Linked DNA regions of Sus scrofa. The protein of the gene in region 2 interacts with the protein of the main gene of each other region in a pairwise test. Links are inferred from orthologs where the notes say so. Each region holds a gene or a part of one and is shown on either strand. Other genes may lie near its edges.

The links.
Region 1: the proteins of CAMK2B (region 2) and ACOT7 interact in binary tests that used the Homo sapiens proteins (3 or more experiments, as listed by UniProt). The two-hybrid records come from large-scale screens. The link is inferred for Sus scrofa from reciprocal best matches to the Homo sapiens genes CAMK2B and ACOT7.

The regions. Positions count from the first base shown.
Region 1 is NC_010448.4:67,210,309-67,217,588, forward strand, and holds part of ACOT7 (cytosolic acyl coenzyme A thioester hydrolase), read right to left. Parts: intron 4,850-7,280; coding exon 4,693-4,849; intron 43-4,692; coding exon 1-42. UniProt on the Homo sapiens protein: Catalyzes the hydrolysis of acyl-CoAs into free fatty acids and coenzyme A (CoASH), regulating their respective intracellular levels.
Region 2 is NC_010460.4:50,947,402-50,954,681, forward strand, and holds part of CAMK2B (calcium/calmodulin-dependent protein kinase type II subunit beta), read left to right. Parts: intron 1-1,324; coding exon 1,325-1,438; intron 1,439-1,768; coding exon 1,769-1,849; intron 1,850-2,641; coding exon 2,642-2,755; intron 2,756-7,280. UniProt on the Homo sapiens protein: Calcium/calmodulin-dependent protein kinase that functions autonomously after Ca(2+)/calmodulin-binding and autophosphorylation, and is involved in dendritic spine and synapse formation, neuronal plasticity and regulation of sarcoplasmic reticulum Ca(2+) transport in skeletal muscle.

The sequences.
Region 1 (7,280 bases), on a different chromosome or scaffold from region 2:
GCACGTACCACAGGGTGGCTTTATTGGTCAGCTTTTTGTTACCTGCAGAGAAGAAAAACACGTGAGTGGGAGCCAGCAGGGTGCACAGGGCACATGGCAGAGACACCCGCCCCTCCCCAGGGCCCTCTTCAGCAGCGAGACCCAAGAGTGGGCATAGATCGGGGAGAGGCGTGGGCCCCGGCGCGGGGAGCCCCCACCCCAGCCTGCCATCCCCACACTGAGGCTGCTAGAAAGACTTCAGATGGCATAGTGTGAGCCTGGAGGTCCTGAGCCTGTGCGTTGTCTAGCATTTTCTAACATGGAAGGCCTGCATCTGGAGGGCTCCGACTCCAGGCAGGCCTCCGAGAAGCCTCCAGAGGGCGTGGGAGGGAAGGGCTGTGGAGACGGGCAGACAGGCCAGGGCCCTCCCAGGGCCAGGCAGGACGAAGCCAGGCGATGTGCTGGGCTCGGTCTCTGCAAGAGACCTCAGCTGATGATCTCACACGAGTCTGAGAAACTGCTGAGAAACTTGACATCGAGATGCTCAAAAAGGATGCTTCCCACGGATCCATCCGCCTGTTTAAAGGCCTGGACAGGAAGCAGCTTGTGGATGACGTGAGGCTAAGGTGCCGTGGAGGCAGAGCCCACCAGGCATCTGGGGAGGGGCGGCGGCAGGCTCAGCCAAGCCCACCCGCCTCTGGAGCCTTCCCCAGGCTCCCTCTTGCTAGGTGGGGGGCACAGCTCCAAAGTTGCTGCTGGTGACCGAGTTCCAATCCTGCAGTCTCCGTGTGGAGGCCTGGGGGAGGGCTGGGGGCTGCTGACTTCTGCTTGGGGCCGAAGGACAGGAAACAGAACATCTTTGGGGCACTGAGCCTGCCTCAGGGCAGAGTGGCCCCAGGGTGGAAGCCTCTCTGGGCTGAAAACCCCAGGCCAAGAGCTCCCAGAGCTGGCTTGGTCACCCCTCATTTGCACAGGAGGCCCCGACGTCCAGAAAGTTCAGGAGTCTGCCTAGGCGACACGGCAACTCAGCGCCACTCTGAGTAGAACCTGGGCCTCCCAGTAACGTCACAGACGTATTTGCCGGGATTCCTCTTATTTTATTTTACTGGCCGCACTCATGGCAGGCGGAAGTTCCTGGGCCAGGGATTGAACCCACGCCACAGCAGTGACAAGGCCGGATCCTTAAGCCCTGAGCCAGCAGGGAACTCAAGCCAGGATGCCCTTTAAAAGCTGCCTCTTCCGCAGGGAGGATTCTCGATGTAGAGAAGGGCAGAACTGGGAAGACAGGAAGCAGAGAAGCGGGGAGCAGGCCCGGCACTCACCCCAAAGTCCCCCGGTAACTCACTTCCTAGGGGCTCCCTCTGACCTGCCTTCCCAAGGCACAGCTGGGGCTTCGGTCCCCCCATAAACGTAGCCCCAAGGCCCAAGCCAAGCCCCGGCGGGTCAATCAGAAGGCAGTGAGGCCCCTGGTGCCCAGGCCCGCTCCTCACACCAGGACGCGCACCGCTCGGCCCGGGCTCTCGGCACCCCTGGGACCATGAGCCGATAAGATGGAAAAATATCTTCTCTGCACTTTGACTGAGAGTGGATCTGACAACCTGCTTTGGGGAATAAAGATTTCCTGTTTGACTCCGCGAGCGCCGGCCCAGCAGAGCTGGTTTCCATGGAAACCCCGAGTGGCCCGCCTCCAGACCTAAATGCACAAACGAGGCAAAACACGCTAATTGTACTTTATCATTTAATAAAACCATCAAAAGACAACGGCGGCACTAAAAACATCTATTCTAAAATCTGAAGCGCTCCCAGCTATTTTCTGGAGTGATTCGCAGCAATCATGTCCCAGTTAGCTTAATATTTTGACAGTTGCCGCTGATGGATGAGGAAGCTTTGCTGGTTGTCTGCCTGGGCGCGCGCTCGCCCCGCCGCCTCCCGACAGGCGCCCAGAGCCGGGGGGACGGCACCTGGCCTCTTCGGGTCGCGGGACACAGGGAGGCACACGAGGCTCTGCTTGGTCCCGGTGTGTCCGCCAGCCCGTGCTCACCGAGTGCCCGCGGGGGACGAGTCGGGGACAATCTGGATGAGGCGGCCACAGGCCCTACCCTCACAGGGCTCACATCCCAGTGCACATGGCAGAGACCCAACAAGACCGGAAGGCTGCCACACATGCGGGCCCAGAACAAGAGAGACGCACACGGACCCAAACACGGAAGACACGAGATGCACAGACACGAGGCTGAGACCCAGGCAGGCCGCCCGGACATGAGAACAGCAGGGGTGCCCGGCCAAGGGGCAGGACGGCCCAGACTGTAGAAGAGCCACAGCCCCAGCTCCAAGGCTCTGTCCCCACCCCGAGACCCGGCCTTGGCGTTCTCCCTCGACCCCAGGCGTCCCATCTCAAAAGGCTAGGCCCGTCCCTGCCTTCTCAGAGCCTCTGTCCTCAGGTGCGCAATGCCCACCCGCTGTCCCGCGAGGGTGGATGCCTGCGGCTCTACCCCTCATGGCCACTTCTCTCCTCCGGGTAGCCCAGGCTCTCTGAACCCCTGGCCCTTCAGGGCCAGGGGGGCCGGGGACACAGGGCAGGGTGGGTGGAGAGCATCCTGACCTTGGTGGAGCATAGTTCTGGGCCAGCGCTGCCCCCCAACCCTCTCCTGACCCCTCCTGTCCCCTCCTGACCCTCCCACCCCTCCTGCTCTCTACCCTCTCCTGTCCCCTCTGTCCCCACCCTCTCCTGCCCCCCACCCTCTCCTGCCCCCCAACCTTCTCCTGCCCACCCCTGTCCCCCTCGCCCTCTTCTGCCCCCTCCCGCCCAGCTCTGCCCCATGGCAGCCAGAATCCCGCAGGAAGTCCTTCTAACAAAGCCCTCTGTGAGCTGCCCTCCCAGTGCAGAGACCCAGATCTTCCTGACTCACCTCCCCCTTCATTCACTCACTCATCAATTATTGATTCCGCCTCTGTCGTGAGCCGACGGCAGCTGCGGGGAAGAGGGAGATGTGACCTTTCCCTCAGGAGCCAGGAGCCAGGGTCCAGGGCCGGCCTCCGCAGCCTCACTACTCAGACGGCGGGGGCCCATCAGGCTGTGGGGCCCCCAAGCACTGTAGGGTGTGCAGCAGTGTCCCAGGCCTCCACCCCGACTGTGACAACCAAAGATCTCCCCTTGCAAACACCTCTGGTGGAAGGAGCCACGACCCTGGGGACCCCTGCCCCACTGCAGTAGCTCTGGTCCCTGTCCCCTCGGCTCTCGTTCCCACTTGCACACAGCATGACGCTGTTCTGTTCATGGGGGTTCCTCCCGGGCTGTGGCCTGATGAGCCAGAAAGGGGGCTTGGGGGATGGGAATCTGTAAAGCAGGCCCCTCCCCCACTTTTGAAGTCAATGGCTCTCTGACCCTGGACAATACAAAAACAATCCTGCTTGGAGTTCCCTGCTGGCCTAAAGGTTAAGGATACAGTGCTGTCACTGCTATGGCTCAGGTGTGATCCCTGATCCCGGAACTTCCAAAAGCCAGTGGTGTGGCCACAAAAAAAACAACCCACCAAAAACAATGCTGTTGAAGACGCTATCAACAAATAAGCCTAAAGTTCAAGAAAAGCAGCGAGCATAGCCGTTCCCCTCTCATGACAGGCATAGGGAGGCTAAACCCCCAGCACAGCCCAGGAGAAAGGGTTGGTCACCCCCGGGGCACACCGCTGGGGCCAGCGCCACAGTGGGAAGTCAGGGCCCGAGCACCCCTTTCTGTGGCACTGCCTAAGACCGGCATCCAAGGTCCCTCTGATGCCACAGCTGCCCTCTGAACACAGGGCTTGGGCCACCAACGCAGAACACGGGCCACGAGCCCGTTGACCGCTCCCCACGCCAGGGCCTGGCTCAGCAAAATAGTTCCCCGAGCACTGGCAGGGGTGCTGTCATCACTGGAATGTTCCAGATGAATAATTGAGCTTCTTCCTTGTGGGGGGACAAGCCTGGGGCCCCCTAAAGATCCCCGTGCACAGCACTCTGCAGGCAGACACGGCCCAGGAGGGGCCGGAGAAGAAGGTGCAAGAACCCAGGCAGCTTCTCCCTCCAGAACGGGCCCCGACTCTCCTCCGGGTGGCCTGCGACAAGGAGGTAGGCAATGAGGGGACCAAGAGGCCTGCCTCCCCCATCAGCAGCTGGGTTATAAAAAGCAGCGAGTGTGAACCGGAGCCACCCTCCCCTGCAGCGCCCAGTGGGAGGATGAAAAGGGGTTTCCATGGTTACCACCGGAGGAAGAGAAGATTCAGATCAAACCAGAGTCAAAGGTTCACCCAGCAAGCGCCAGCCTAGGCCTGGCTCCCGGGGCCCAGGGGGGCAGAAAGCAGCCAGGCCAGTGTCCTCCAAGGGGCAGCAGTGTCCCCAAGCGGGGATGGGCAAGTGGGGGAGGGGGGCAGGCAGGGGGGCCACAGGATGGCATGTGCCCTCCCAGGCCACTCCCAGCTCTCCCCCCTAGTCCTGCTGGGGGTTGGGGGGGTGGGTCACACGCTGGGCACGCGAGCGGGGGCTCGCTGCCTAACTCGTCTGTGCTCCCGTTTCCCCGTCCTAAAAACAGGACAGCAGAGGTTCCTGCTCCCAGGTGGAGGTGGGAACTCAGGGAGGTCATCCCTGGCCACGCAGGAGCTGTCAGCGAGCTGTCACGGCTGCGTCCATGCCGCTGTCGCCACTGCTCCCGGCCCCGCCCGCGGCCGGCGTGCGGGTTACCTGTGAGGATGTTCTCGGACATGACGTGGACCTGGACCTCCACGGAGTGCTTGGACGTGTAGGTGATCTCCGCGCTGACGTGCGCCACCTCGCCGATGCACATGGGCGACAGGAAGTCGGTGCGCTCGACCCGGGCCAGGGCGGCCACGCAGCGCTCCTGGAAAGACCAGAGGCGGGTCAGCCAACCGTGAGCCGCTCCCCCCACCCCCCCCGGACACGCTCCCCCCAGGTTTCGTATCCACTGTTGGAGTAACAGCTTTTTTTTTTTTTCCTGTCTTTTTTTGGCCATTTCTAGGGCCGCTCCCACAGCGAGGGGTCCAATCAGAGCTGCAGCTGCCGGCCTACACCACAGCCACAGCAGCACGGTATCCGAGCTGCATCTGCGACCTACACCACGGCTCACGGCAACGCCGGATCCTTAACCCACTGAGCAAGGGCAGGGATCGAACCTGCAACCTCTTGGTTCCTAGTCAGATTCGTTAACCACTGCGCCACGACGGGAACTCCTGGAGTAACAGCTTTTTATGCCCACACGTCATGGCCATCACAGGTTCCTAAACGCAGAGCCCAGGGGCGGAGCCCAAGGGCCACACAGGGGATGCTCTGGCTGGCAGGGTTCCAAGCGGCTCTTTTGTTCTCCTACACGAGACGTGTGACTTGCTCATGAAAAGTGGAAACGTGCACACACTCGCTCCGGAAAACCACGGAAGAGCACACAAAGGAGGAAAAACACCTCTCCTATCCAGAGATAAACACGGTTTGGTTTCTCTTTGGGGATCTTTCTTTCCAGGCTTTTTGCCCTAAGAAGAGAGGTTTCACTGGTTTACCTGTTTGCCTACCTGGCTCCTTGTTTTAGTCGTTTGTGGTCCTTACTCACAGTCCTACATAGTCTTATATTGTTGTCACTTATAGTCATACATGTAATTGTCACATAGAGTCTTACACCAGTTGGGCAAAACCTAAGTATACATTTTCACAACCATTTTTACTCAACGGGAAGATAAATAACCTGCCCATCTTATGACAAAGCCCTTACCAATCACAGTCCCTTTATTTACATTTTATTTATCCTTATAACAGCAACCCAAATTACCTCATGACTCAAAATTCAAAAGGAACAATAGGGCTACACCTGAAAGTGACACAACCTTGTAAATTAACAATACTCCAATAGAAAACAAAATTAAAAAAAAAAAAAAAGCAACAAAAAGGTATACACCCTGGGCCACCCAGGACTCCCGGTTACTGCAAGACACAGCCAGTCAGCACAGGTGCACACCAGGTCCAGCCAAACCCACTCAGGAGCTCATTCTGCATGAACGCGAGGAAGAATGAACTTCCTCCACTTTTTTTTTTTTTTGCTTTTTAGGGCTCCACCTGCAGCATATGGAAGTATTCTGGCTAGGGGCCACCTCAGAGCCACAGCTGCTGGCCTACGCCACAACTCACAGCAACGCTAGGTCCTTTAACCCACTGAGCGAGCCCCGGGATGGCGCCCGCATCCTCATGGCTACTATAATTGGGTTCATTACCACAGAGCCACACTGGAAACTTCCTCTTGACACTTTCTCCGACGGCCATTTCACTGCACTCCATCGCAAACCCGTTTAACAGCCGGATAGAACAGTCTCCTGTTAGACTGGGGCCAACCCCAACTGTTTCCCATTTAAAGAACTGGACGAGCCCCCTTTCATTCACAGTCTTTACAGAATCACGATTGGTTCTTGGGTGGAAGGGACAACCACCTCACTTCCCAAAGTGCTTCTCAATAGGGCAGAGTGCTTGCGGGCCCAGCACCTCCCCGCGCCAGCACTGAAAATCAGCTTTTTCTTTCTTTTTCCTTTTAGGGCCACACCCACAGCATATGGAATTCCCAGGCTAGGGGTGGAATCAGAGCTGTAGCTGCCGGCCTACACCACAGCCATAGCAATGCCAGATCCGAGTCACATCTGAGACCCACACCTCAGCTCACGGCAACGCCGGATCCTTAACCCACTGAACAAGGCCAGGGATAGAACCCACGTCCTCACGGATCCTAGTTGGGTTCGTTACCACTGAGTCACAACGGGAATTCCAAAAGTCAGCTTTTTTATTTAAGTGTAGTTTTTATCGAGGCAACGCTGGTGTCTAACTCTGTGTTAAAAGTGTCATGTGTTATTTCTACCTCTGTGTGCCCTGCTGCACGCTCACCACCAAAACCAGTTTTCACTGGTCACCACACAGTCGGCCCCTTTACCCAGTCTGCCTCTGTGCCCCACCCCCCTTCCCCCCTGGTGACCGCTGCTCTGTTCCCTGTATCGACGTTTTTGTTTGGCTTGTTCTTTTATTTCATTTTATTATTATTTTTGTCTTTTTAGGGACACACCCACAGTCTATGGAGGTTCCCAGGCTAGGGGTTGAATCGGAGCTGCAGCTGCCAGCCTACACCACAGCCACAGCAACACCAGATCCAAGCCGTGTCTGCGACCTACACCACAGCTTATGGCAACGCCAGATCCTTAACTCCTTGAGGGAGGCCAGGGATGGAACCTGCGTCCTTATGGATCCCAGTCAGATTCATTTCTGCTGAGCCATGAAGGGAATTCCCT
Region 2 (7,280 bases):
TCCCTGCCTGCGGCGGCCGGCGGGGTGGCCACTGGGGGGCGGGGAGCCGGCAGAGAATCAGGCCGCAGCTGGCACCGCGGGTGTGTCCCGCGGGGCTGGCCCTGCTCAGGGCCACAGGCCCCCCCGGAGCCTGGGTGACCGGCGCCAGGCAGTCTTGGGCATAGCGTCCAAGCAGAGCTGGATGGGACCTGGGCATGGTGACTGGTGAGGACACTGCACCGGACCTGCCATTGCTCCGGGGGCCGTGCTCCCGGTTCTCGTGGCGGATGGGTTCCTGGGTGAATATGCAGCTTCTTCTCTCAAAGGTCCTTAAACCTGTCCCTGCCTGGCTGGTGGTTGATCAGTGGCTGGGCAGCCAGGGGCGTTTCTGAGCTCGCTGGGGGAGGGGTTGCTGAGACGCATGCTTCAACCCACGCGCAGAGCTCCCGGGCGAGCTGGGCCAGGGCTCAGGCTGTGCCCGACAAGAGCCCTAGGGTGCCAGACACTGAGTGCTCACCCAGGCCCACCTCTTCTGCTCTGGGCTCACCCAGCCACCCCAGGGAGGGGCTCTGGTGCCCATTCCACCCAGGCCGCCCGCTCCCACGCCAGGGGGCTGCGTGACCCTCTCGGCCACACACCTAGGTAGGTGAGGGCTGAGCACCCTCAGGACTGCCTCTGGGCCCGAGGGCGGCCACTCTGCCCGTTTGGGGGATGCGGTGACCTTGCACTGAGCACCCCACCCCCCACTCCAGAGTGGAAGTGAGCACAAGGCTTTGGCCTCTGGATGCAGGGAGAGTGGACGTTCGCGTAGTTTCCCCAGACCACAGGCCCCTGGCCATCGCTGGAGCTCACCTGGACCTCCTCAGGCTCTGCCCTGGCGGTGCTGCCACTGCCCCCAGCGGGAAACAGCCAAACCTGCAGGAACGTAGGGGAGAGGGCCAGCCCGGCCAGCCTCGTCCCAACCCTTCGTCTGGCGGGGAAAGGCTGGCCAGATGCCCCAAGGGCCTCATGAGGCAGCGCAGGCACCCGCGTCCTGAGGGGCAGGGCCCTGGGGGTCTCTCACCTCAGCTGTGTCACCTGTCAGATGCAGAGACGCCCCAGTGGGTCCAGGTCTGGGCTGGACACAGCCCACTCCCCTCCCCTGGAGGCCCGAGTCCAGCCCCGCACAGTCGTGCGTCTGCCTCACACACCTGCTGGGACAGCTCAGCCCTGGGCTCCCCGGCTGACGGCTCCCCAGGACCCACCGCGTGGGTCTCCTCCTTAACCCCCTCGTCCTGCTCCTGCACGGCCCCCTTCTCTCCTGCGTGTCTTCACCTGCCTCGTGTTCACGTCTCGTCTCACCCAGCCCCCAGGGTCCCCGACATCCTGAGCTCCGTGAGGAGGGGCTCGGGGACCCCAGACGTCGAGGGCCCCCCGCCCTGCCTGTCTCCGGCTCCCATTAGCCCCCTACCCACCCCATGTAAGTAGCCGGGCCCCTGTTGTAGCTGTGGGGGTCTCCTAGAAGGGCCTGTGGCCCCTCTCAGAGGGGACCCTCGAGAGCCAAGGGCCAGCTGGGCTTGGGCGCCCACACAGCCCCCACAGCCCCCACACTGAGGCTCCCCAGGCCTCTGCCCCTCAAGCCCGCCTCTGTGTGGGGATCCCCCCTGGCCTGTGGGGCCGCCGGGTCTCAGGACCAGGCTCCTTAGTGCTGAGCCAGGCCCCGGGGGCGGGAGAGAGCGGGAGGCCCTGCTCCCTCTCCTCCAGCCTCTCCCTGCCGCGTCCTCACGCGTCTGCCTCCTGTCCACCCCAGCCCCCCGGATCTCTGACCTCCTGAGCTCCGTGAGGAGGGGCTCGGGGACCCCGGAAGCCGAGGGCCCCCTGCCCACCCCATGTAAGTAGTGTCCCAGGCCTGCTGCCTCTGCTGCCGAGTGGCTCCCTGCCTCCTGCCATGCACGGCCTCAGCTGCCCCCGGGCCAGGCTGCCAGGCGCTAACTGTCCCAGCCTGGCTGGGCATTGGGGCGGGCACACGCGCTAACTCTGCCAGGCGCCCCCCCCACGGCTCCTCCCCCTCCCCCTGCACTGCTGTCTGGCCCCAAGCTTCTCCCCCAGAGGGTCTCCCTGACCCGGGGCAGCTGGCTGGGCCCCTCTGAGGCCGTGTGCTGTGACCCCACTTGGTGTGGGCCCCACACCTGGTGCCCAGCCAGGACCCCAGGGACCCCAGGCACCAGGAGCTATTCCAGAAATCCCTCCCAACCCCAGGACTGTGGGTTTAAAGGGAGGAGAAAGGGCCTGGCCTTCCTGCAGAAATGAGTCTCAGAGGGCCCAATGGAGCACTGCCCCAGGCGAGCTCCTCTGGCCTCTCCTGGGCCAGGCTGCCCTTCCTAGGAGGGCACCCTCTGCCACAGCAGCTTCCCGTACCCTCACCTGGTCAGACAGGTGCCTCTGCCTGAACGTCCCTGGAGCCTCCCCCCGGTCTTCCCCGCCCTTCTGTCGGCCCTGTCCCCCCATTCCACTGCACCTGTGTGTCCCTTCTCCATCCCCCTCTGTCTCCCGCCACCCCCATGCTCCCTCTTGACCCCCTCCGTCCCCCCACTCTCTCTGGCTTGGCTCATCAGCCCGTAGGTTTTCTCTCCTGCGTGTCCCCCGCCTGCCTCGTGTTCACGTCTCGTCTGTTCCGCCCCAGCCCCCAGGATCTCTAACATCCTGAACACGGTGAGGAGGGGTTCGGGGACCCCAGAAGCCCAGGGCCCCCCACCCTGCCCGTCTCCGGCTCTCCCAGGCCCCCCACCCACCCCGAGTAAGTAGCACCTTGAGTGGCCCTGCTGGCTGCCCCGGGGGGCTCACCGGGGTGTCAAGACCCCCAGCTGCCGTGTGCTGCCCCTTGGCCCCGGGAAGGGGCCAGCCTGTGTGTGTGTGGGGGGGGCGGGGGGACAAGGGGCGCAGGTGTGGGAAGAACCAGGAAGCAGGTTCCCGAGGACCAGGGCGTCACACTCCTGCTGCCTGCGGGGTCTTCTGTAGCGATGATGGGGCAAGTACCAGCTGGGGTGGCATCTGAGTGTGGAGGGGCAGTTCTCTGGGGGGCAAGGAAGAGAAAGGCCTTCTCGGGGCCCAGGGGCCGGCCGGGGCTGCGGGGCTGGCGCTGAGCTGGGCCGCCTCCCCAGGTGGGGAGGAGCCGCCGGGCGCTGCAGCCGGTCTGCCGACTGCCTGCCGGTATCACTTACAGGGATGGATGACACCCCAGGGCGGCCGCCACCCCCGCCTCCGGGGAGACACGGCGCTCTCAGAGGAGAGGCTGCGGGGCCGGGGGCCGGGCATGGCGGGGGAGAGGCTGGGTGAGTCTGGGCCAGGCCTGGGGGCCAGGCAGAGCGGAAGGGGAGGGAGACCTGGCAGCAGTGGGGTCGGGGTCGGGGTCGGGGTCTGCAGCCAGCATCTGCAGCCAGCATCCAGGCGTGGCTAAGGGGAGCGGAGCCTGGGGGAGTGGTCAGAGCCCCCTCCCCATTTGGCAGCGTCTTACCAGAGATGTCTCCTGGACGGACCGTCACAGCCCCCAGTTTCACAGATGAGAAAGCTGAGCTTAGGAGTTGGGGAGGGTGGTGCCCGAGGGGGCCGCCTGCAACGGGACCCCGGCCCAGGGCTGTGACCTGCCCCTGGGGTACACACAGCCCAGGCGGGGAGCTCTGAGAACCGGGCTTGCCCGGTTGGGTGGGGGGCCCGCTGCACAGGAAGCAGGTTCCCGAGGACCAGGGTGTCACACTCACAGGTTCGCCCCTTTAGGGGTCTGTCCTGAGCTTGACTCGGGAAGGTGGGGGCCACAGAAGGCGCTGTGACAGGATTGAAAGAGGGGCCTAGGGGCCTGGATGTGGCAGCGTGCAGGGGCGGGGGCTGAGAGCAGACTCAGAGTGGGGGGGGCAGCGAGGGAAGGGGGTGGCCCCCATCCGTGTCTCTCAGGGAGTGGGGTCCTTGTGCTAGATGTGCGCCCCCAGCCCAGAGTTCCCAGCATCCCCAGCCCTTGAGTGTGTGTGTGTGTGTGTGTGTGTGTGTGTTGGAGGGGCCTCAGGGGAGGGGGTGTGGGTGGGGCCAGCCCATTTGGGGGTGAGCTCTGGCTGAGAGTGTGAGTGCCAGAGCCGGGGTGCCCCTCTCCACCTCCAGGACCCGGGTCCACCTCTCCCAGCACTGAGACCCAGACCGCAGAGGGAGGGCCGTCGCTGGGGTGGGTCACGGGCAGCCCCCTTTTTGGTGAATGTCCCTGCCAGCTGTCGCCATGTCTAAATGGGCCTGTGTTCTCTATAATCGGATTATGCACAATCCAGGCTGATCCTGTGCAAGTGCCTCTGGGGTGGTTGGGGGCATCCCTGTGCCCCTGTAGCTGCCAAGGGACAGGCCTTGAGGTCACCCAGGGGTCACTGGGGCTCCCCCACACCCCAAACCCTTTGCCCGCGGCTGGGCCTCCCTGGCCTGTTAGCTTGCCCCGAGAGAGCGGCTGTGGGGGCTCCTCCCAAGCCAGAACCGTACCTGTGAACCTTGGCTCTGTTCCTGGAGTTGCCTGGTGGCAGCAGCTTGTCCTCATGCTAACAGGCCTCACCCCCCCTGGGGCCTCCCTTGGCGTAGCTTTGCTGTGGGGGGCGGGGTGGGGTTCGGCCTGACCCATAGCTGCTCCAGGGATCAGGAGCGCCCGGCCCAGTCCTGGGCTGTGACTAGGCCTGTATGGCCTCCACTTTCCCATCTGCAGAATGGACGTGGTGGCTCTTTCCCAGACTTCAGACTCTGCCTGTGTGCTGTGACCGGGATGTCTCTGGTGTGCTTAATCCTTCCTCTGTACGCTGTCTCCATCTTCAATTACACTTTGTTTAAAAACGCTCAATATGACTTTATTAAGTGGAAGGTGTGGGTCACTTACCACGGTAGGGTTAACTGTGAAATCAGAGTGGGCTGAAAACAAAACAGAAAAAATGTCACTCCGTTCCAGCTGCAAGGCTGTCTGCCGAGGACTTGCGTAGGCTGGGGACAGGTCCCCACGTCTGTGAAGAAGGGGGATTGACGGGTGTCAGGGTGGGTAGATGACCTCCGGGTGACATCAGCAGGATGGCCCGGAGCTGAGGAGTAAACCCCAGGTAGAAGGTGGGGGCCCTGAGCAGAAGCTGGACCTGGTGCCACAGGAGGTAGGTGGCAAGGGCCCACGGGTGACAGGCCGCCTGGACAGGGATGGGAGTGGCAGGGGCTGGAGGCTGCCTTGGAATGAGCCCAAGGGACCTGATTCTCTGGACAGCATTTGGTGGGGGAGCTGGGCTGCAGTGGGAGGAGATGGAAGTCACCTCCGCGAAGGTGACAGGTGCAGAGAGGATGGGGGTGGGTGAGGTCCCGGAGGAGAGGGGGCCATTCAAAACTGGGAAGCGTGCGGGCAGAGGGTGGCGAGGTGGGCAGGCTGCAGAGGAAGCCGAGGGGGAAGAACTCAGTCCAGGGGCAGGTGTGGAGGCGGAGCTGTGAAGTAGAGAGTGAGAACAGCCAGCCTGTGTGTGTCCGTGTGTCTGGACAGAGCTCTGTCCCTGCATGAAGCTCTGCAGGTGGACATGAGGCATCTGGGAACCTGGGCCTGCAGCTTCCCCTCCTGGAAGCCAGCTTCCAGGGGCCACCCGCATAGGTGGGGCCTGGGTGCTGCAGAGATGGCCCTAAGCCCAAACCCCGATGTGGTCCAGGTGTGAGGTTCAGTGAGAAATGGGAAAAGGATGCCAGCAGAAGCACAGCCGGGTCCAGAGAGAGGGTCTCTTCAAGATAGGGGAAGCCTATGTGAGTTTGCGGGGTGGGTATGCACACGCGTGCGCGCGCACACACACACACACACACACTCTCAGCCCCTCAGGCATCATGGAGCTCAATCCCCAGTCACTGTCCAGAGCCAGTGCAGCACAACCCAGGCTCCCAGCTCACACACAGGCACGCCTGGGCTTGCACACAGCACGCAGTGTCTTCTGCCGTGGACTCTGTCTGCCCCACGAGGTGGGCGCCTGGGCAAGTGATGGGAACCTGCGGCCCCACCACGGGCCCTGGGCACATGCTTCCAAATGCTATATGCACGCATTTGGAGCTGGCCCCTGCGCTCTGGGACTTTAGCCCCAGATCAATTCCCACACGTGCTGTTCCCAGCTGGCAGCTGGCACTGGAGACCTGCAGTCACCCATCACTGGGCTTGGCTGTGTGAGGATGCCCATCGCCCAGGAGTGGCCGTGCAGAAAGCCTGTGGTCCCAGTGTGCTGCTGGCAGCGAGGGACACGGGTGTGGGGGCTGAGGGTGCACAGACGCATGCAGCCGTGGAGCCGTGACCGGGAGGGAAGTGTGAGCAGAGAGCTCCTGAGATCATGCTCTCAGGGCCCTCCTTGGGTCTGAGGTTTACCTCCGGCAGGTTCCTGCTTTACGGCGTCAGCCAGCGTGGGTGTGTCTGTGTCTGTGCGGGTGTGGATGTATCTGCGTGGAAGTGGTTGCGCACCTGACTCGGGGCGGAACTCTGGGGAGAGCGGGTGACGAGCAGGATTGAGGGGAGCACAGGCCTCTGCATCTGTATCTGGAAGGTTTCATTTCTTCAAAAGAAATCTAGGCGTTCCCATCGTGGCGCAGTGGAAATGAATCTCCCTAGGAGCCATGAGGTTGTGGGTTTGATCCCTGGCCTTGCTCAGTGGGCGAAGGATCCAGCATTGCCGTGACCTGTGGTGCAGGTCGCAGACATGGCTTGGATCCCACGTTGCTGTGGCTGTGGCGTAGGCCGGCAGCTGAGGCTCTGATTAGACCCCTAGCCTGGGAACCTCCATGTGCCACGGGCGTGGCCCTAAAAAGAAAAAAAAAAAAATCTAAAGCAAATAGGAAAATTGTTCAGATTTGAATCAGTAGGGCGTGGGTTGTAGTATTCTGCTTTTTCCATGTGTTTAAAATGCTGTGCATGAAAATAAATTGCAGTGAAAGAGACCAAAGGGGGCCCTGGGTGAGCACAGGGCCTGTCTAGGCCCCAAGGTCAAGTGGGCAGGACCCCAGAGAGACTGTGGGCCCAGGACTTCAGGTGGGGGATAGGATGGGATGGGCAGCTAATGTCAGAGGACTGGCCTGGGAGCCCAGGACTGCAAACAGGTGGAGGCTAGAGGAGGCCGCGGGCTTCCAGGGAGAGAAGGTGGTGAGGCCCACACTGCTTCCCTCTGGGCCCTGCTCCCTGGCCTTTGCACAGAGGCCTGGCCCTGCAGCCACGGTCCTCTCCCTGCTTTGTGAGCCGACCCTTAGGAGGCCCCCGCCTCCCCAGGAGTTGTCCGATGCTTGAAGAGCTACGAGAGAGCAGTGCCGGA